4 linked regions of the Saccharomyces cerevisiae S288C genome follow. The protein of the gene in region 2 binds, or shares a complex with, the protein of the main gene of each other region. Each region holds a gene or a part of one and is shown on either strand. Other genes may lie near its edges. A codon is read from its position in the direction of its gene.

Evidence for each region.
Region 1: the proteins of SNF5 (region 2) and SWP82 are in contact, whole or in part, in a cryo-EM structure (PDB 7EGM), measured with the Saccharomyces cerevisiae proteins. Residues at the interface, in NP_009848.4 of Saccharomyces cerevisiae: Ser413 (codon at 2,016), Gly414 (codon at 2,013), Tyr415 (codon at 2,010), Gln466 (codon at 1,857), Arg470 (codon at 1,845), Phe472 (codon at 1,839), Tyr499 (codon at 1,758), Arg500 (codon at 1,755), Phe501 (codon at 1,752), Glu502 (codon at 1,749), Gln508 (codon at 1,731), Gly553 (codon at 1,596), Gln554 (codon at 1,593), Asn555 (codon at 1,590), Glu582 (codon at 1,509), Leu583 (codon at 1,506), Glu584 (codon at 1,503), Leu585 (codon at 1,500), Pro586 (codon at 1,497), Tyr639 (codon at 1,338), Arg640 (codon at 1,335), Ala642 (codon at 1,329), Ser645 (codon at 1,320), Lys646 (codon at 1,317), Thr649 (codon at 1,308), Pro650 (codon at 1,305), Asn651 (codon at 1,302), Leu652 (codon at 1,299), Leu653 (codon at 1,296), Gln654 (codon at 1,293); in NP_116605.1 of Saccharomyces cerevisiae: Glu279 (codon at 1,565), Arg286 (codon at 1,544), Glu287 (codon at 1,541), Tyr289 (codon at 1,535), Ile290 (codon at 1,532), Phe293 (codon at 1,523), Ala294 (codon at 1,520), Lys295 (codon at 1,517), Gly296 (codon at 1,514), Glu297 (codon at 1,511), His298 (codon at 1,508), Ser300 (codon at 1,502), Ile302 (codon at 1,496), Pro304 (codon at 1,490), Gly305 (codon at 1,487), Gln306 (codon at 1,484), Ser307 (codon at 1,481), Ile308 (codon at 1,478), Ser309 (codon at 1,475), Gly310 (codon at 1,472), Thr311 (codon at 1,469), Leu312 (codon at 1,466), Glu313 (codon at 1,463), Leu314 (codon at 1,460), Ser315 (codon at 1,457), Val320 (codon at 1,442), Glu468 (codon at 998), His471 (codon at 989), Leu482 (codon at 956), Arg486 (codon at 944).
Region 3: the proteins of SNF5 (region 2) and SWI3 are in contact, whole or in part, in a cryo-EM structure (PDB 7C4J), measured with the Saccharomyces cerevisiae proteins. Residues at the interface, in NP_009848.4 of Saccharomyces cerevisiae: Pro324 (codon at 2,283), Ala332 (codon at 2,259), Asp333 (codon at 2,256), Thr334 (codon at 2,253), Asp335 (codon at 2,250), Leu337 (codon at 2,244), Leu338 (codon at 2,241), Gln341 (codon at 2,232), Gln344 (codon at 2,223), Arg345 (codon at 2,220), Lys347 (codon at 2,214), Ile348 (codon at 2,211), Arg355 (codon at 2,190), Tyr360 (codon at 2,175), Pro362 (codon at 2,169), Ser364 (codon at 2,163), Tyr366 (codon at 2,157), Gly367 (codon at 2,154), Phe368 (codon at 2,151), Glu372 (codon at 2,139), Thr380 (codon at 2,115), Tyr383 (codon at 2,106), Tyr384 (codon at 2,103), Asp386 (codon at 2,097), Leu387 (codon at 2,094), Thr390 (codon at 2,085), Ser394 (codon at 2,073), Ile402 (codon at 2,049), Pro403 (codon at 2,046), Ser404 (codon at 2,043); in NP_012359.1 of Saccharomyces cerevisiae: His303 (codon at 2,691), Val306 (codon at 2,700), Pro308 (codon at 2,706), Tyr310 (codon at 2,712), Val324 (codon at 2,754), Gln325 (codon at 2,757), Pro328 (codon at 2,766), Glu329 (codon at 2,769), Thr332 (codon at 2,778), Arg334 (codon at 2,784), Ile335 (codon at 2,787), Ser337 (codon at 2,793), Lys338 (codon at 2,796), Phe349 (codon at 2,829), Ser353 (codon at 2,841), Leu356 (codon at 2,850), Asn357 (codon at 2,853), Asn359 (codon at 2,859), Glu360 (codon at 2,862), Tyr361 (codon at 2,865), Phe362 (codon at 2,868), Ser363 (codon at 2,871), Val364 (codon at 2,874), Thr365 (codon at 2,877), Thr366 (codon at 2,880), Arg368 (codon at 2,886), Arg369 (codon at 2,889), Asn370 (codon at 2,892), Val371 (codon at 2,895), Ser372 (codon at 2,898).
Region 4: the proteins of SNF5 (region 2) and SWI1 are in contact, whole or in part, in a cryo-EM structure (PDB 7C4J), measured with the Saccharomyces cerevisiae proteins. Residues at the interface, in NP_009848.4 of Saccharomyces cerevisiae: Pro316 (codon at 2,307), Pro317 (codon at 2,304), Glu318 (codon at 2,301), Ile342 (codon at 2,229), Ile343 (codon at 2,226), Asp346 (codon at 2,217), Asn349 (codon at 2,208), Glu356 (codon at 2,187), Thr357 (codon at 2,184), Phe368 (codon at 2,151), Ser369 (codon at 2,148), Asn370 (codon at 2,145), Tyr373 (codon at 2,136), Ile374 (codon at 2,133), Leu377 (codon at 2,124), Trp378 (codon at 2,121), Thr380 (codon at 2,115), Leu381 (codon at 2,112), Tyr384 (codon at 2,103), Gln385 (codon at 2,100), Leu387 (codon at 2,094), Lys388 (codon at 2,091), Arg391 (codon at 2,082), Ile395 (codon at 2,070), Ile407 (codon at 2,034), Trp408 (codon at 2,031), Tyr412 (codon at 2,019), Asn417 (codon at 2,004), Ile419 (codon at 1,998), Thr420 (codon at 1,995); in NP_015309.1 of Saccharomyces cerevisiae: Arg662 (codon at 2,464), Tyr664 (codon at 2,458), Pro666 (codon at 2,452), Leu667 (codon at 2,449), Asn669 (codon at 2,443), His673 (codon at 2,431), Gly676 (codon at 2,422), Tyr677 (codon at 2,419), Asp678 (codon at 2,416), Tyr681 (codon at 2,407), Ile682 (codon at 2,404), Ile685 (codon at 2,395), Lys688 (codon at 2,386), Ile689 (codon at 2,383), Ser691 (codon at 2,377), Asn692 (codon at 2,374), Lys693 (codon at 2,371), Pro694 (codon at 2,368), Ile695 (codon at 2,365), Phe696 (codon at 2,362), Leu697 (codon at 2,359), Phe698 (codon at 2,356), Ala699 (codon at 2,353), Pro700 (codon at 2,350), Glu701 (codon at 2,347), Leu702 (codon at 2,344), Gly703 (codon at 2,341), Ala704 (codon at 2,338), Ile705 (codon at 2,335), Asn706 (codon at 2,332).

The regions. Positions count from the first base shown.
Region 1 is NC_001138.5:35,062-39,201, reverse strand, and holds SWP82 (Swp82p), read right to left. Parts: upstream 2,400-4,140; coding exon 528-2,399; downstream 1-527. Other genes in the region: EMP47 (Emp47p), read left to right, coding at 1-359; putative Mg(2+) transporter ALR2, read left to right, coding at 3,354-4,140. UniProt on the Saccharomyces cerevisiae protein: Involved in transcriptional activation. Component of the SWI/SNF complex, an ATP-dependent chromatin remodeling complex, which is required for the positive and negative regulation of gene expression of a large number of genes.
Region 2 is NC_001134.8:777,850-782,918, reverse strand, and holds SNF5 (Snf5p), read right to left. Parts: upstream 3,253-5,069; coding exon 535-3,252; downstream 1-534. Other genes in the region: BSD2 (Bsd2p), read right to left, coding at 1-328; APM3 (Apm3p), read left to right, coding at 3,456-4,907; YBR287W (uncharacterized protein), read right to left, coding at 5,065-5,069. UniProt on the Saccharomyces cerevisiae protein: Involved in transcriptional activation. Component of the SWI/SNF complex, an ATP-dependent chromatin-remodeling complex, which is required for the positive and negative regulation of gene expression of a large number of genes.
Region 3 is NC_001142.9:91,529-96,314, reverse strand, and holds SWI3 (Swi3p), read left to right. Parts: upstream 1-1,784; coding exon 1,785-4,262; downstream 4,263-4,786. Other genes in the region: RFA3 (Rfa3p), read left to right, coding at 1-154; KRE9 (Kre9p), read right to left, coding at 393-1,223; 60S ribosomal protein uL22 RPL17B, read right to left, coding at 4,658-4,786. UniProt on the Saccharomyces cerevisiae protein: Involved in transcriptional activation. Component of the SWI/SNF complex, an ATP-dependent chromatin-remodeling complex, which is required for the positive and negative regulation of gene expression of a large number of genes.
Region 4 is NC_001148.4:519,363-525,460, reverse strand, and holds SWI1 (Swi1p), read right to left. Parts: upstream 4,448-6,098; coding exon 503-4,447; downstream 1-502. Other genes in the region: IRC15 (Irc15p), read left to right, coding at 5,228-6,098. UniProt on the Saccharomyces cerevisiae protein: Involved in transcriptional activation. Component of the SWI/SNF complex, an ATP-dependent chromatin remodeling complex, which is required for the positive and negative regulation of gene expression of a large number of genes.

The sequences.
Region 1 (4,140 bases), on a different chromosome or scaffold from region 2:
TAAATGATGTCATTAAGGTCCAACAAGAGCTATTATCATTCATGACTACGATAACTAAACAGCTCTCTTCTAAGCCACCAGCTAATAATGAAAAGGGAACGTCCACCGATGATGCAATCGCTGAGGATAAAGAAAATTTCAAAGACTTCTTATCAATCAATCAGAAATTGGAGAAAGTCCTGGTTGAACAAGAAAAGTATAGGGAAGCTACCAAACGTCATGGACAAGATGGTCCTCAGGTCGACGAAATTGCCAGAAAACTAATGATTTGGTTACTTCCATTAATTTTCATTATGTTGGTTATGGCATATTACACATTCAGAATCAGACAAGAGATCATAAAGACCAAACTGCTATGATTTTGGATTATTCCTTCCACTCAAACCAATTGTGCACATGCATTCCCTATATATGTATATATATGTAACAATACATATTTTATAAAATAACGAACGATAGTTTATATTACTACTTCAACAATGGTTTATTTCTTATTGGAGTGTTCCCTACATTATGTTTTACTTCTTTCAATTATTCATAGCTACTTCGTTGCTGAAGTTAGCCAGGTTGTCCGGTTTAGCGGCGACCGGATCCGTCGCCACCACTGGATTAGCATTTGTGTTCTTTACTTCAGTGTCCAGCTTAACAGCCGTTTTATCCCCAGCGACATTTTGTGGTACTTTGTTCACATGAGAATAAATGTATGGAGGTTTAAAATCCTTAATGTTACAATTTCCTAGGAAGTTTGGGTTCGGTACCCTCTTTGTTGTTATTGTTTCATCCGTATTCGTTATTTCGTTAAAATTTGTAGTAACACTCGTTTGCGCCAACACATCTTTCAAATATTTATTTTTGAATTCATCCAATTGAGACCGTTTCAAACCGATAGGAATACCTGCCTTGTACTGCCAGTACTTTTTCCATTTTTTTGTCCTAACTTTTCTAACGTTCTGCAAACCGGTATTAACAAAAACGGCATCGTGTAAATGCTCTAGTTCTTTAATTTCGTTCGGTGTCAGCTGTTTCAACCTTTCTAGCAGCGTGTTTTTTTCATATAACGGCAATCCTCTATAATATTGCTGTTTACCTGAATTCTCGGCGGATTTTAATGGCAAAGATTCAAATTTCCAGCCGTTTATGTTTAACGATGTATTATTTTTGTGTTGGCCCTTGTTCATGGGTTTTATCATTTCGTTCTCCTCAGACTTCTTGTTTTTTGATGAGGAAACGTTAATATCAAGAATGCTACTTAGCATTCGTTTGATTGGTTTATTGCTAGGATTGACAGATGGAATATGGTTAGGAAGTGAAATTGAAGCGGAACCATCAGGAGCTTGACTTTCATATTGCGCAAGTAATTCTTCATGTCTTCCGATTGGTATGTCCATTGCCTTCATTTGCAGAGCTTGTTGAAATGAGTTTTTGCTGTGATAACGCGGTACTCTAAATTGTGCACTGAGTTCCAATGTTCCACTAATGCTTTGACCAGGAACAATTGCCGAAATGTGCTCACCTTTGGCAAAGTTTTCAATATAGGCTTCTCTAATCTCCGCTGACGGTTGTTCCGTGACTATTGGATACTGTGATTCGAATTTTGAAGTAGAAATCGTACAGGTATTATTAGTGTTCGCACTAATTTCATTGGCATTGCTAATCCTGTTATTTTGGAAGGAGGGGCGTAAAAGTGAGATTTTAGAAATTAAATTTGTTGATAATTTGAAAACCCTTTGGTGAGACGACAAATTTTGCTTTTTAGCTAAAGATTCCCAATAATCATCAACGATGCGTTGACCACCGGCAATAACAGAAGCACCGAATTCAACAAAGGCTGACCTGGCAGTTATATACTTAAAAGATCCTTTGGATTCTTCAGGAATGACACCATTTTTGGCCAAAAATTTTGTTTGTTCCTCAGAAGTTTCCATTACCAGAATTTGATCATGCTGGACAATAAACTCGTCCTCGTCATGCGTTGCGTTGCTTTGGTATAACACTTTAATGACATCTTGTAAAAGTACCAGAAGAACACCCATATGAGCCGTGAATGTGAAGGTGTTGAACAAATAATGTCTACCGCCAAATAATTCACCGTTCGAACCCACTTTTTTCTCACCATAAGCATCCAATTGTATCATCTTGTAGGATGTATTAGTAGCGTCTCTCGTCTTAAGTTCATCTATATATTTCGGTAATTCTAATTTTTTGTAGGGAAATTTGTCTAAGGGAGGTTGAACCAATTCATCTTGATCCAGGATTTGCAGAATTTGCTTAAGTATCACTCTTTCATGTTCTCTGATAAGTATTTTGGGTACTATAAATACAGCTCCAACCTCTCCTTGTTTTACAGAAGGATTATTTCCCTTTTCAAGAACGGTATTCCCTTCATCTTCGCCAAGCATATTCGTCTCTCTTTAAAACGCCCTTTGTTTTGGTTCTTCTTCCTACTTTTTTTATTTATAGTATTATACATTCCATGTTTTTCTTGTTTTTACATTGAGAAAAGTCCAGAAAGGGAAAAGTGATGGTTCGAAAAAAAAATATAGACGGCTGAAACTACAACTATATTTAATGCACAGGGCCACTTTCTGAACGGCTAATCTTTCCATGTCAGGATATATTTCCGTTGTACTTGACGAGGTCATAATACTCTGAAAATTTTTTTAGATACGACAAATATATCAGCTGCTAAACTCCTTTATGGATGTGTTGAAGGGAACACTTATCGCTTATTCTTCCTACGTGCTAGATTCCGTAACTGAGCTGTACTTCCCACATCGTAGTTGCCTAAATGTGAGAAACAAGAAGTGCCCTTCGTGCTTAGACCGTGGATATCATATATGTGAAGGTTGACAGTTCTTCCAAGTTTCAACAAACTATGCAAGACCTCCATTAATTTATACGCACATTCATTTGACAGAGGCCCTGTATACAAGAAGTACAGACAAAACTAACCGTTGTCCATATCCTACTATCAAACTATTCTTTCAGGTACGTTTTTACTGCCTGACCGGCTATAAGTTACAAAAGCGACTCCTTGAGATAAAAATTTTCTTCGAAAAATGCAGCATTTGGTTTGGCTGTTCACGAAAGTGGCTGCTTCCAGAGAAATCAGGTTTTCCTCGAGCATATGATATTTTAACGTAGAGGTTTATATTATAAAAGTGGAAAGGTAAAATCAACAGCGTTTATTTCCTCTATTCAATGTTCAGCAAGGACGGTAGAGACTACTATTGCTAAACAATTACTTACATGGAAATGTACTGTCAGTTGGATAAAAAAATCGACAGGAATATATTTTAATCACCTTTATAGAAGTACTGAATTTTTATGAGAAAACGTGAAAAAACTTCGTAATGTCGTCCTTATCCACTTCATTTGATTCATCGTCAGATTTACCAAGGTCAAAATCCGTTGACAATACGGCGGCTTCCATGAAGACAGGCAAGTACCCAAAATTAGAGAACTATAGGCAGTATTCTGATGCACAACCAATACGTCACGAAGCGCTTGCATTGAAAGTGGACGAAACGAAAGATTCTAGACACAAATTTAGTTCCTCTAACGGGGAGAATAGTGGAGTGGAAAATGGAGGCTATGTGGAGAAAACGAATATATCCACAAGTGGCCGCATGGATTTTGAAGGTGAAGCAGAAGCAGAAGCAGTGAAACGTTACCAGTTAAGATCTTTCGCGCTTTTAAGTTCTAATGCGAGGCCATCCAGGCTAGCAAAGTCTGAAACTCACCAAAAGCAGATTCATGTAGAGAGCATCGCTCCCTCTTTGCCAAAGAATGCGGCTTTAGAGAGAGGCCATGATACGGCGTTACCTGCCGGTACGTCAAGTAACAGATGCAACTTAGAAGCCTCCTCCTCGGCAAGAACTTTTACAAGCGCTCGTAAGGCTTCGCTAGTTAGCGCAATCTTTGAAACATCGGCTGAATCAGAGCATGGTACGCATCCCAAACAGGCGAAACTTAAGAGAAGAACCTATTCTACAATATCGACACATTCATCAGTCAATCCTACAACGTTGTTGACAAGAACTGCATCGCAAAAGTCCGATATGGGAAATGACACACGAAGAATTAAACCGTTACGTATGGATAGCAGGGTATCTTTCCATAGTGAGATATCGCAAGCAT
Region 2 (5,069 bases):
CACCTTGTTGTATATCCGAAGACTGTTGTGTACGTTTCTTAAAAAGTCTATCAAGAATATTAAAATGTCTTCCTATTTTTCCTATATGTCTGGCTGCTTGTTCCCTCAGCTGGTGTGGTACTAGTCTTTCTGTCGTACTATTTCCTCCACTGCTGCTTCCCTCGTCCTCTATGCTATCTTCCTCGTCAGACCCTATTTCCGTTTCCCCTTCTACGCCAGTTTGTGTGTCTCTAGTTCGTCCTGCGTTTCCGACATTTATGCCATCAGTAGATGAACCTGCATGAAGTGTATTCATTTCTTGCCCTATAAGTAGTTCTTGCTCTGGCATAGCGCTTAGTTTCCTAGACTACGTGTTCTTGTTATTCTCATGCTCTTTTTATGTATCTAAATTGGAAGATTTTTATAAAGGTTATGTACTATTCTTCTAAAAAAAGTAGGCGCAAAGGGACTCCGCATCGTATAACACGATGATAATACAAATTCTTCCACGGTTATTTACATCTCCGGTATATTTTATATATGTGTATATATTTTCTATGTATTCTGTGTGTTATTGTTACTGCTACCATTATTGCTATTAGTCAACAATGTCGCTTCGCTATCATGTGGTGCTACTGGAGGTGCTATAGGAAGACTAGGTGTAGGTACCGATTTACTAGCTGCCCCACCTGGGATTACTGGCTGCAGTGTGGGATTGGGTGAATTAGTAACAGTGTGATTGGCAATCGGGTTTGGGATTGAAGGTATCGTCACACCAGCGCGAATGTTACTATTCAGCTTAGTTTTCAGCGATTCTGGACTCGGAAGCATTGCATTGGTGCCACTACTTGTGTCATTGGGCGCTGCTGCGAACTCTTCTTTTGTATTAACTTTCCCAGGCAGTTTAATAGAAAGTAGTAGCGAATGACCCGGAATATGGTCAATAATATAACAAGGAGGTGAAACTGGCTTAGGTCTATCTGGCCTGCTTTTATAAGTGGTTGTGTTTCTCAATTCGTACGATTCCACAGAAGGGCCTACGTCAACACCACCAGGCATTAAAGTGCTAGGTACTGGAGTCCTGAAAGTTCTTGGAATATCTGCAATATCTGGCAGTAAAATCTCTCCTGGTGGCAACGATGAAGCATTTCCTGCTGCTACTGTGTTGTGAACGCCGTTCATAGATGTATTACTTGCAGATGTGCCGGACAATGCGAGCATACCACGTCTATTAGATCTACCTTGTCTTCTTTTCCTTCTTGTGTCTCTGTCCTTATCTTTATCCAATCTCTCTAACTCTGCAGCTGAAATCTGTAATAGGTTTGGAGTAAAAATTTTGCTTTCCGCTGCAGGCCTATAAACATCATCAAGAGTAATCGTTGGGAGCATTCTGCTTCTAATGTCATCATCTTCTATCGCTGATCCATCAAAATTGTAACCTAACAGTGCCAGTGATTTATGATACATATGAACTTGCTCTCTTATGGAGTGAGCAATGGCAGTCACAAACTCACCTGGTAGTTCTAATTCTTGACACATGGACTCTGCAAACTCTTCTGGACAGTTATCACTATTAGAGATGTCCCACTCAAATTGATCGATTAACTGGTTTTGTCCCACGACAATATCCAGCTTGATTCTAATTCTCAAGTCATCACCGCCTAGACGGTCCTGATTCAACTCTATATATGGATTTCCTTGAAACTCCTGAATCTGCTCTTGTATAGATTGACAAATAGTATCAATGTGTTGCTCTCTCGTAGCGTCCTCAAATCGGTAATCTCGCAACATGTCGTCCACAAAGTCTTCAATTTTAATAAGCTTGTCATTTTTGTTCCATAACAAAGTGTCCCTGAGGAAGAATCTGTCACGATCTTGATCGAACTCCAATCTTATGGGAACTAACTGTTCCGATGTCTCATTCATGGCCTGTTTATAGACTTTTAATTTATCCTCTAGGTAATGCTTCCTATTTCCAACTTCTACTTGTGGAATAACTCTGGTAGTTGTATTCGTAATCCCATTACCATACCCTGAGTAACCATTTCCCCAAATACTTGCCGAAGGAATCTTCTGAGAAGTGCTTGTGATAGATTTCATTCTAGTGTTCTTCAAATCTTGATAATACTTCAGTGTATGCCACAGTCTACTAATATACTCTTTATTACTAAATCCATAAATGCTAAACGGATCGTAACCATTGGTTTCTCTTATTAGCGAATATTTGTTAATTTTATCACGCTGGATAATTTGTTCGTACAACAAAGTATCCGTATCTGCTTTTTTGTCTGACCAATAGGTTGGATATGGTAGCTTGGTTTCTGGTGGATCGTATTGAATAGTTTGGTACTTGGGTAAGTTTAATTTTGGAAGTTGAGGAAGTTGGCCAATAGTTGGCTGAACATTGGTGGGAGGTTGTCCACTCATGGATCTAACTTGAGGAACTTGCTGAGATTGCGGTATTTGTCCTTGCTGCTGCTGCTGCTGCTGCTGCTGTTGTTGTTGTTGTTGCTGTTGTTGTTGCTGCTGCTGTTGCTGTTGCTGTTGCTGCTGTTGCTGTTGTTGTTGTTGTTGTTGCTGATGCTGCTGCTGCTGTTGTTGTTGCTTTTGTTGCTGCTGTTGTATTTGCACATGATGCCTAAACTGTTGTTGCTGTTGTCGCTGTATTTGGTTTCTAAGTTGCTGCTGCTGTTGCTGCTGAACCAGCAATTGCCTCTGCTGTTCTAGCTGAGTTTGTGCCGTTTGCTGTCCCTTTTGCTGCTCAATTTGGCGTTGCACTTGTTGTTGTGCAACAGTAATTGCATTCACAACCTGTGGATTATTTTTTGCTATGGCCTGCTGCCTCAACTTGTTCAAAACTTGTTGCTGTGTAGCCAAAGGTAACTGAGCAATTTGTGGAGGCAAATTAATAGGCGCTGGAGCTAAGGGCACTTGACCAATTTGGGGATGTAAGTTGTGTGGTGCTGGAGGAGGAGGAGGGGTAGAAGTCGCTGATTGATTAGCAATGGGTTGAGATTGTTGCGGAGGAGGGGGTGGAGATTGATGCGTTTGCGGTGGCGGTGAAGTTTGTTGTTGTTGTTGTTGTTGTTGTTGTAGACGACTCCTCAGTAACTGTTGGTGTCGTTGCTGAATCATCTGCAATTGTTGTGGTGTGAGGCTCTGATACAGCTGTTGCGGAATTTGCGCCATGTTAAAAGATGGAGTTCCAATGTTGCTAAATATATTTCCAATACTATTTGGAACGCTGTTGGTACCCTGCGGCTGATTATTCATTGTTGCTTTTGTGTAGTTCTTTACTATATGTTCCCTTGATGATGCTTTGTTTTGGTGTTTATGTTTGAAATTTCAGTTTCTTTTAAATGCGACGAAAAATGAAATTTTTGGTCAAAGAACAAGAAGAGATTTATTTAAAGTTGGCGATAACAGGACTTGGGCAACAACAGAGGCTGTAAACCTTACCAACCCAACCAAAATAGATGTATTTGTCATTCTATATCACTGATACAAAGAACAAACTTATTTTCCAGTATCTTTTAGGTGCAACAGCTCCCTCCTTCAAGCACCTGTGGACCCGCGTTCAGTCCACATGTCCTCAATTGCTCGAAGATAGCAGTAGTGATGATTATTTAGACCATTCAATGGTTGGAAGAGATTTAGAGGTCTATAAGTATTTCTCAGTTATAAATAAGCTCAATTATTGGTGCTTAGCCTCCACTTCGAAGTCAAAAGGCCCGCTTGATTGTTTTACCTTTTTAGAGACTATAGATCGTATCCTGTTAGAATATTTTGACAAGGATAAATTAAGTATCAAGAAAATTGTTAATAATTATGATAGAATCAGTTTGATTTTTAACTGTTGCGTCGAAGCGGGTGAACCAAATGTGAGTGATATGCTCTATGTTAATAAAATTAAAGAAGCTGTTCCTGAAAGATCGGATTTATCGAAGTTCATAAGTTCTACAGCCCATAATTTACAGCAGGCTGTGCAACTCCCACAACAAAGGCAACAGCAGCTACAACAAAATCAGATTTCTCGTGGTAGTAATTCACTAATCGAAAATGAAGAGATTGTTCCCTGGAGAACTTCAAGGGCTAGCAAACATGAGAATAATGAGCTTTATGTGGATTTGTTAGAAACATTCCATGTTGTATTTGAAAAGAAAAAATCACATCTAAGGTTGCTCACTGGAAGTATCCATGGAATAGTGGACGTGAGATCTTATTTGAATGATAATCCTCTAGTTGCAGTAAAATTAAACACTATGGGAAATGATATAGGTATACCCAGTTTGCATGACTGTGTTGAAATCAATGATGGTGTGTTTTCTCCCTCTAATATAACGTTTATACCACCAGATGGGAAGTTCAGATTGCTGGAGTATTCCGTCGATTTAAGTTCTCAAGTAAAGCAATCCGGAGTAAGGATGAATTCTATTGGCTTGATGTCTTTACACTTCCAAAATGGATTGGGTAAAGATTCTGATGAATTTGAGTTATCCTTAAATATTGAAAATTTCAAAAAAGTTTCACAAGTTGATGACCTAAAAATAGATTTACAGTTCAATGTTGAGAATGCTGATCCAAATGAAATAGCATATAAGATAAAAATATTGCGCAATACTCATGGCCGTTTTGAAAATAGCATTATCATGGGTCAAGGACAATGGATTTTTGATAAATCAACTGCCACTGGAACGGTACCTGTACTACGTGGCTGTATTGAGTATGAAAATACTGGGCCAAATTTTACAAAAAAAGTTGATTTACAAACAGTCTCCTTAGAATATTCTTACATAGGACAATCGGCCAGTGGAATCTATGTAGAAGCCATCGATATTGTATCTGGATTAACAATTGGCAAAAATACAAAGCTGTACAAGGGTGCAAAGTATAAGACCCAGACAGGCAATTTTCAAGTAAGGCTGTAGTTATATGTGTACTTGAAATTCCATGCGAAACTAAATAGAATATAATGAGAATATAAGTCTTGGAATAAAAAAGGAATATAAAACTATGCTAAAAAAAAAAAAAAATGAATAAGACTTTCATTCATGAAGACTCTATACAAAGGAATGAAAAGTTGTATTAAG
Region 3 (4,786 bases), on a different chromosome or scaffold from region 2:
GTATGAGTTTGTTTGCAGGAACAATGATGACGGCGAGCTAGGATTTTTGATTCTAGACGCTGTACTATGCAAATTCAAGGAGAACGAAGATTTAAGCTTAAACGGTGTGGTTGCTTTACAGAGACTATGTAAGAAATACCCAGAAATATACTAGCTAAAATCGCTTTTATTCTTACCTTTATGTACTGTTGCCTCTATATGTCTTCCCTTCATATAATAAATTCCATTTCTAAAAAAATTGTAGTTGTGTTTATAGATGTATAGATAGATAAATGAATGTGTACTTGCTGCCTTAACGCCTTCCGCTAAAAACTTTTTGATATTTATTTTATTTTTAACCTTTCCTGACTTCAACCCTTACTGTAATGATGATAGTAGAAGCCGTCTATTTTTCATACTTTTCTCATGTTGATTTTCCTTGCAGACAAAGACAATCTCTTGGATGGTTTGTACCAACCACCATTATCTGAAGGCATAGATGCAGGAGTAGCGTAGTTTACTCCCGATGATATCGTATAAGACCAGCCAGGAGTTATCGTAGTTGCTTGCTCTGGCAATGACCCAAAGGTAGAGTAATATGTCACAGCACTAGTGGCAAATTTCCTTGTCCATGTGGTAGCGGTCACTTTAGTATTTGGCTGCATTTGCATTGGAGCGAAACGCGACGTACCAGTCTGCTTGGTGTACGGAACAGTAAATGAACGACTGTCAATAGTAGTGGCTTGGGCGTTGTTTGTAGTGGTTGTTTGAATAGAAGTCTGGGGAGTAGGTTCAGTTGTGGCACTATATGTATAAGCCGTAACACCGCCCATGGAAGTCAACTGGAATCTTGGTGTATAATGGATAGTGTAACCTTGACCGTCCACCTGGGCAAAAACTTGAATGTAATATTGACCGTTCCCAGTTAAGGTCGAAGCAAACTCAGCTGTGTAAGAGTAAACTTTATCATCTTGTGTTAGCTCACTTGGAGTAATTTTACTGGCAAGTACGGCCACACAGTCAATGTTGTTATTAGGACCAGTACAAAGACTGAACGTGAAAGTTGAAATCTTGCTTAACGAGGGATATGCCCCATTATCCATCCATTCAACGGGAACAGAGACAGTACCACCACTTGGACTGAATGTTGCCTTGGAGCTGGGGGAAACAATATTCACATCTCCCAGCACAAATGAGACTAAAAACACCAAAGCACATATGATGGAATTTCTTTGTAAACGCATTATCTATAATATGTCACAGTTGCTGATTCTCTGAGAAGGAAGTAAAAAGCGAAAGAGTAGATTCCTAGTAATCAAAACAAAGTGTGAACTGCCACTTTTAGCGCTTCTTGGAACTATCAAACTGGAGCAAATCTGGCTTCAAGAATGCTTTGAGACTCCTGTTCTATTCCTGTATTATCCTTGAAGATCTTTTTCGAGGAAAAAAAAAAAGAAATGTAAATAAAACACCTAATCGTCAAAAGTGATATTATATTGAACCGCCGTGGTTACGATGGAATAATGGTCAATACGCAGTTTAGATGGCATCCAACAATTCAGGATGGCCAATGATGTTATTTTAGTTTGAATTGATTACTTTTGAGCTAGTTTAAATTCGATTTAAGAGCCATTAAGTAGGCATCACGAATAACGAGGCCGGACGTTTGGCGTTTAGGCCATTGGCGAAAAGACGAAAACAAACTATATCAGATACGCAAGAGGAATGTGTAAAGGCCATGCAAGGCGCGATATATTGGTACATCGAGGCGCGTTCAGAGACCAATTGTGATACGGTTTGCAAGCATGGAGAATACACTGGGTGAGGGGTCCACGGTAAACGCTTCCGTGGACGTGGACCAACATGGCAATGACAACAATAGTGATAGCAACGCTAATGCAGCTGTGGCAGGGGTTGCCAATACAGATACTGCTGGTGAAGAATCGCAGCAACAAGATGAGTCTCTGAAGGATGAAGCAACTGTTCCGAACACACGCGATGCAGAAAGTGAGGCGATAACGGTAACGGCAAAGCAGCAGCCGACTATGCAAGCGAATAAGCTAGATTCCCAGGAAACACCTTCTACAGAAGAAAGCAGGGCCCAGAACGTCTTTGGCCAAGATAATGAGGATAGTGATAATCTCTTTGGCGAAACCGAGAGTTCTGTTTCGAACAATGAGGCAAACACTCCTAGTATACCTACGAACCCGGTAGACAATGAAAACAATAAGCCTGCTATTAAGGAAGACAGCACAATACAGGATTCAAATGGTGACGTTAAAAACATGGAGGACGTCAAAATACAAAAAGAGGAAGAACCAGAGAATAACACTGTTATTGAAGGTGTCAAAGAAGAAAGTCAGCCAGATGAGAACACAAAGGAAATGGATGAAGTGGAAGAAGATGATGAGGATGACGATCAACCGATGATTAGTCCTGATAATTCCATTTTTGGAGACACAAAGAGTGAGTCTAAACAACTAGGCAACACTTCGTCGGTTGCTAATACTCCATCTGAAATTCCAGATGCGCATAAAGCTGAACAGGAGGATATCATAGAAAAGACGGAAAGTGTAGATAAGAAGGTAGATAGTGGCGAAGAGAGAAACGAACAGGAACGTGAAATCATGAACGATCACTCCAAAAGTGCCAATCCAAAGAAAACCACTATCACCAGAGTAGAACCCGAAACTTTTGAGATACCGCAAGCACATGAAATTGTTATTCCAAGTTATTCTAAATGGTTCAATCTAGAAAAAATTCATTCCATTGAAGTTCAATCGTTACCTGAATTTTTCACCAATAGGATTCCATCAAAGACACCTGAAGTTTACATGAGATACAGAAACTTCATGGTAAATTCTTACAGGCTGAACCCCAACGAATATTTCAGTGTCACTACGGCGAGGAGAAACGTCTCTGGTGATGCTGCTGCATTATTCAGATTGCATAAATTCTTAACAAAATGGGGGCTAATAAACTATCAGGTTGACTCCAAACTATTACCTAAGAACATCGAACCCCCACTAACGTCTCAATATTCCACAAGGCATGATGCCCCCAGAGGACTATTCCCATTCGAAAGTTACAAACCATCTGTACAACTGCCGGATATGGCAAAGCTTAAAAAAATGATGAACACTAGTGATTCGGAGAGTACTTTATATAAATATTTGAAAGAAAGCAAAAGAAAATATGATGAAATAACTCACCCCCCCAGTACCACTGATGATGAAAATGGTGACAAAAATGATAATGGTGGTAAAATGAACAATGAAGTAAGTACGTCAACAAGCATGACTGGTGATGCCAATCTATTGGAAGAAGGCGAAACTTCACGTCCTCTGAAAAAAGTCAAAATTCTAGAACAAATTGATGAAAATTGGTCAAAAGAAGATTTGCAAAAGCTATTAAAGGGAATACAAGAATTCGGCGCTGACTGGTACAAAGTGGCCAAAAACGTTGGCAATAAGTCGCCTGAACAGTGTATCTTACGTTTCCTTCAATTGCCCATTGAAGATAAATTTTTATACGGTGACGGCAATGGCAAGGGTGATAATGACAACGGGTTAGGACCTTTGAAATATGCTCCTCACTTGCCATTTTCGAAGAGCGAAAACCCCGTTTTATCAACAATAGCATTCTTGGTGGGTTTGGTCAATCCGAAGACTGTACAGTCGATGACCCAGAGAGCCATTCAGTCCGCAGAATCAATAAAATCACAAAAAGAGGAAATCTCTGACCAAAAGCCAATTGAACATATTAAAGAAGGTTCAGAAATTGCCATATCATCATTGGGTTATAGGAGTCATATTTTCGCTACCAACGAGGAAAGGCAAATGAATTTTTTGACTAACGAGCTAATAAGACTTCAAATGGAAAAATTGGACGCTAAATTAAATCATTTAAAGAAACTAGAAAAATTTATGGAGCTAGAAAGGAAAACCCTAGAAAGACAACAGGAAAACTTACTAATTCAGAGATTGAACTTCAACCAAAACTCCAGCAAGATTGTAAACGTTTTAAGCAAATGCTTGAATTTAATATCCGACAGCAATATCAATAATAGTTCAGTGGCGGAGAAGGAGGAAATCAGGTCGCAGATAGACCATTTCAAAAGTATGCTATCGAAACCTGAAACTTTAAGTATTGGAAAGAATCCATTTAACAAACCTAATATTGAAACAGGTGAAAACCATAATGGCCAAAGTATATCTAACGAGAATGATGTCAAACCCATTTCTATTGAAGCACCTCAATTTTACAGGTATTGGTCGGCATAACAATGACACATGGAGATCATTTTTGTTTTTGTTGTAATTATTCTTCATTAGTAACACTTTCTATTTTGTTTCGCTCTATATTTTTGCTTATTTTCTTTCTTCTAGGTTCATTTCTTTAATGGTGCGTCACTTGACTTGGCTTCTCTCTGATTTTTATCCCATTTCTCTAGATTCGACTAGACATGTTATGTACATGTAGATATATATCTATAATTGTGTTATTTTCTATTTTTTCTATTTTTTTTATTTAAAAGAGCCTTTATCAAAAGTTATTTTTCTTGTTCTGTGTTGTTCTTAGTTTGATTTTGATTCTGTGTATTGGCCTAAACAAATTAGTATATAGTAGTATATAAATCAAATATTCACTTTAAAAGATTTTAAAATTAAAAAAGCATTTAAGCAGAGATACGTTTTTGGGCAGCAATTCTACCTCTTTGTCTAGAAGTCAATCTGACAACCTTCTTTTCAGCAGCCTTGGCGACAGCTTCTTCCTTTTCGGTAACAACCAATTCAATGTGAGATGG
Region 4 (6,098 bases), on a different chromosome or scaffold from region 2:
CGATCTTGACTTTGTGGGCAGCTTGAAATTTTCTTGGATGATTCTGTCCTATTTGAGCTTTACCTCCTCCCATCGAAAGGGCGAAGTCACACCGTTTTCAAAGGTGGAGTGTTACCCCACCCCCCACGCTGACTCCACATCTGACTCTCTACCGTTTTATTATAGCGAACGTTAACTCTGAATGTATGTGTGGTGTGTATGAATTGTATTTACTGCCTGAAATGGAGTCATAAACTCCTTTATACAATTTCAAGGAATTTTTGTAGCCGCGACGGGACCAGTGGGAAGTTACTAAAACCATTGTTTAGTTGAGCCGCCCAAGATGTGACTTCATGGCAGCTATACGTTCATTTGGGCTTTTGGCACTAAAGGCGCTCTTCCGACTGTATTGTTTCCATAAGGTCTATTATATTAGTTACAACATTTTATATAGGTTTATAAAAAGAAAATAGTGCGCAAGGAAGAAATAAGCAGTAAAAGAATATTGTTTAAAAAAATCGCATCATTCCAAATTGGTTAGGATATCATTTTTTAAATTGTAAAGTAATTGATACTGGTTTATTATTTGAATATCAACTGATGGATTAGTGAATAACTGGAAAATTTCTAAATCCGTGGGGAACAAATTTGGAATCGATGCTATTTTTTTTAATATTTCCGGGTCGTTGTTTAGGCAGTTTTCAAAACAAATACTTTTTTCAACCAAACATTTGATTAACTGAACACAGGATATGTTAATTGACGGTAGGAGCACCTTTGAATAATTTTGTTGCTGTAACAAAGTATTCTTACTTGTGGAATTGTTAATATTCAATATTATCTCACTTAACTTCAATAGTCCAGATCCAATATTTTCTTCAGAGCTCAACCACACAAATGGTAAATTCTTGTTGAAATTGAAGCTAGAATCTTTGTTGCCGTTATTGTTACTGTTACTGTCTGAATTATTCTCACTGATTTCAAATACTTCATTGGATAACGGCAATATTTTTTGTACAATGACTAAGATGCTAGTTAGACTCTGAGAAATTACCGGAGAAAATTGGTCGATCAGCAAACTTGGATCAGCTGATTGCGATAACACTTGCTGCAGCGGTATGGCAGAAAATAAAAACGAAACCACATCATTTAGCAAGTTGTGCCTATTGTTATTATTTTTATTGTTATCATTGTATAAATTCAAAAGTCTTCGTAACAACTTTTTGTCCTTGTGGTTGTTGTTACTGTTGCGATCATAGAGGTTGTTACCTGTGTTTTTGTTCAGAAGGATTGATTTGAAATAATTTAGGTTCGGTTTTTCCAATGAAAATAATTTGGCCAAAATATCTACACCGAAAGTTTGATATTTTCCCCATTGCAACTGGAATTCGTTGAAGGTCAAAGATTCAGAGCCAAATGATGACGAAGACGCCATTGGATTGAGTTTTGGTTGACCAAAACTTATGACTAGAATAAGAATTAACAAGCAATCAATGGACGAAGCGATCTCTAATAAATGAGAAATATTTGATAAAACAATAACCAAATCCTTCTTGAAATTTAGTATTTTCCTATTGCATGTAAAGTTTTCTGGATGGATTAAGACTAACCAAAGTAGATCAGATATAAATCTCTTTAGGTAAAAATTTCTCGACATGATTCTGGAGTTGTTATCGGAGAATGAAATATTCCTCAAAATCATCGAGATGGTAGACAGTTGATCGTTAATCAGAACTTTGGGATCCTCTGCCCCTCTGGTATTTATTTTTGTAAATGGATCATCAATTTCATCCTTGATTTTTTTCAAAGAAGTCAAATAAGGAGTTCTGTGAATTTTCAAAGGAAATTGGTTAGGGAGGAATCTTATTGGTTCAGGCAATAAGTCCCACTGTTTAACTGCGGGAGATGTCGACTGCATACTTATAAAACATTCAGTGTCGAGATCAGGCTCCATTTCAGTAGGAGTAGGGGTGGGCAATTGATTACCTGTTAAAGAATCTACCAGGATAGTGACTTTTTCATCGTTAGAATCATTCGGTGTAAGTGTAGCGTTGTTGTTTACCTTTTCAAAAATTTTATCAACCATTTTATCGTGTTGGGTAACATAGTATTGATTTGATCCAGCATCCTCATAATAATAGTCAGAAGTGTTTCGATGGTATGGAACAACATTTTGTGACAAATTTGACAGTAAATTCATGCCGAGTATTGCCAAGGAGTCTAATAATTCAGGGTATTTGACCAGAGATATTTTTAAGTTCGAGTCAGCGCTTGTGACCAACAAGGTGTTCAAGGCGGTGTTTATTTCTCCAAGATTCTTCGATTGGAGGGACATTGATAAAGCATGTAAATTAATTGCACCTAACTCTGGCGCGAAGAGAAAAATTGGCTTGTTGGAATCTATTTTCTCTCCTATTTTAGAGATGTAATTGATATCGTAACCATTGTAATGCTTGAGGCGGTTGATTAGGGGTTTGTAGTTCCTAACAATTGATCTCTTGTAGACTTTAGGCAATTTTTTTAGTTCGATTTCATATTGTTGACGTAATTTTGTCTCTAATAGCAATTTCTGTTGCCTTTGTTGATCCTCTAAAAGTTTTTGTTGTCGTTTCTGAAAATCCTCCCTTTCTTTACGTTCTAGTTCCAATTCCTTTTTGGTCTTTTTTTTCACTCTTTGCTTTCTTGGCTTCTTAACTTGCTGTTGGCCAATATTGTTATTATTTACGTTGATATTAATATTGCTATTCAAGCTTTTTGGAGTGTTTGCTGAAACCGGAACGATCCCTGCTTCTGTTCCTGGTGCTGCTGTAGCAGGAACGGACGCGCCAGGAGCCGCGGGGGTTGGTGCTGACGATGCACTATTAATGTTATTGTTGGCATTGGCCAATGCAGCGGCCTGCTGCTGTTGTTGAACTTTCTTCAATAGTTCTTGTAAGAACTGTTGCAAGAATATTCTTTTCGCTTGAGTTTCCTTTATACCTTCTTGGGAAATCATGTGTCTTTCGTAAGGTAATAAAATTCTAAAATAGATTGATTCTAATTGTTGGTAATCGGAAATTTGCAGCCTTTGGGCCACCATAGACCACTGTTGGGTCCTTGTTACTTGATCTGCACCACCGAATTTTTGAACCAACATATAAAGATAAAAAAGATTTATTTTTCTGTTGCCGATTTCTGGTATTGATTGTAACGGCATATTTCTTTTTTTACAGTTTTCAATCAAAGATTTCATAAAAAGTTCATATTGTTTGTTATTCAATTCAGTAGATATTTTCTCTTGTAATGCCGGGTTCAGACTTTGTAAAATAGATCTTTGTTGTTGCTGCCGTTGACTCTGCAAAAATTTGGGATTCTGTTGTTGCTGTTGTTGCTGTTGTGGTTGTTGATTTTGCTGTTGTTGATTTTGTTGCTGCTGCTGCTGCTGCTGTAGAGCCTGAAAACGTTGCTGCTGCTTTTGCTGCAAAGCGGCAAACATTGCAGCTCTTTCAGAGAACACTGTATTTGCGTTTGAAGTTGAATTATTGGTATTAGCGGGAGTTGCAGCAGGCACGGCAGTGACATTATTGTTATTGCTCGTTTTATTATTGCTGTTATTACGCATATTATGGTTATTACTGTTGTTGTTGTTGTCACTTGTGTTCGGAACAAATTCATTGCTTGCAGAGGATGATCTGTCCATTGAATTTGAAGCAGCGTAATTAGAAATAAGCTGGTTAGACGTCAAATTACCATTATTGGAAGCACTGTTATTGAATGGCAAAAATTGTTGATTTGCATTCGGAGTAGAGTTAGAGTTTGTGTTCGGAGTAGAAGATGAGGAATTTTGACTGATGGATTGAACATTGGTGATAAAATGGGGTGTTATTACATTATCGTTCGCAATTCCGGTGCTATTATTATTATTGTTACCGCCATATAGCTGTTGTTGAGCTTGAAGAGGTAAATTGGAAGAATCAATGATTGAATTCTTGGCTAAAATAGCCTGAGGAGACAGGCTGTTTAAATTTGTGTTGGAATTGTTTGAGTCATATGGAGAATTGAATTGGGGAGACTGGTTCTGAATGAAATTAGCAGCTTTTCCACCGGTAACATTAGCAGGAGCGGCATTATTAACGACTGCTGTTGGAGAAGTAAAGTTCGTGCTGGAGGCTACCGTGTTACTGTTATTGTTATCATTGTTATTACTATTACTGTTGTTATTGTTGGAATCCAAATTCTGGTCAAAAGGTTTTGGGTCGAAAAAATTCTGAAAATCGTCTACACCACTGGCTCCGGTATTCGTATTGTTGTTATTAGTATTGTTATTAGTATTACTACTATGGCCTGTGCTATTGTTGTTATTGGTATTATTAGCAGGATTATTATTATTATTAGTATTATTATTATTAGTATTATTGTTATTGGTAGTAGTAGTAGTAGTAGTAGTATTATTATTATTATTATTATTATTCAAATTAAAGAAATCCATCTTTATTTATTACTATTTTTATTATTACTATTTTTATTATTATTATTATTATTATTATTATAAGACACGAAAAGAAAGAAAATAGAGATAGAAAAAGAAAATTTTAAGAATAATGAGTGTAATAGGAAAATAGCCGCCAGTCAGTGATTATTACCTGGTGAACAATAATCTGCAATCCGTGAGAGGAAACAACGCGAAATGCCAAAGCAGAGATGGTGTAATAAGGATAGAGCCACACAACAATACTTTCTAGAAAAATAAATAATAAAAAAATAAGGTAAACAAAGTGTAATCAGTTGCCTTGCCGTATAGTGTTTTGCGGTATAAATATTGTTATTCAATACGAATGATGAATACCGGAAGGTGGTTATGACTAAAACGCAATGTGAATATGATTACAACTGGCAACAACCACAACAGAAACAACAATAATGCATAGTGGTAATAATACGTAAAGTCAATCAGCGTTCAGTTTTAAAAAAAATCTTTTCTCGGTGCTTTGGGGAAGGAGGGGTGGCGTCGTTTCGTAATCGGAGATACCCAAAGTTCATATCACGATAAACGTCAGTTCCGGGTTAGAATAAATTTATGCGGTAGTTTCTGTGCGAACTTGAGTGCGGTGGCATTTTCCTCCGGCGAGGCCTGGGTGGAACACTCAGGCAGGGGGTACACCCAGACCTGCAGGCATGCATCTGCTGTTTCGGCGGCTATTTAACATGCGCACGATTTTACGAGAGGAGAAGAGAAGTATGATATAATTAACGGTGAGCATTTTTGGTAATGGGAGGTGAAGACGAAATATTAAGCACGATGGAGGATTTTGCGGCAGTTTACGATGTCCTGGTAATTGGTTGCGGGCCTGGTGGCTTTACTGCAGCGATGCAGGCTTCGCAAGCAGGCCTGCTCACAGCATGTGTTGACCAGCGTGCCTCGCTGGGGGGCGCCTACCTTGTAGACGGGGCAGTCCCGTCCAAGACCTTGTTATATGAGTCTTATCTTTATCGGCTGCTACAACAGCAAGAACTTATCGAGCAACGTGGCACGCGGCTGTTTCCTGCAAAATTCGATATGCAGGCGGCCCAGAGTGCACTCAAACATAATATAGAAGAGTTGGGCAATGTGTATAAACGTGAGCTATCTAAAAATAATGTTACTGTGTATAAAGGCACGGCTGCTTTCAAAGATCCTCACCACGTTGAGATTGCGCAGCGCGGCATGAAACCGTTCATCGTAGAGGCGAAATATATTGTTGTGGCGACCGGATCTGCGGTTATTCAGTGTCCTGGTGTTGCAATAGATAATGACAAGATAATTTCATCTGATAAGGCATTGTCACTGGATTATATACCTTCACGTTTTACTATCATGGGAGGAGGTACAATTGGACTAGAAATCGCATGCATATTCAATAATTTGGGCTCTCGGGTTACTATCGTTGAATCTCAAAGCGAGATCTGTCAAAATATGGACAATGAGTTGGCTTCTGCCACGAAGACCCTCTTGCAGTGTCAGGGTATAGCTTTTCTTTTAGACACTAGAGTGCAGCTCGCGGAAGCCGATGCTGCCGGTCAGCTGAACATCACCTTGCTTAACAAGGTGTCAAAGAAAACATATGTACATCATTGCGACGTCTTGATGGTTTCTATTGGTA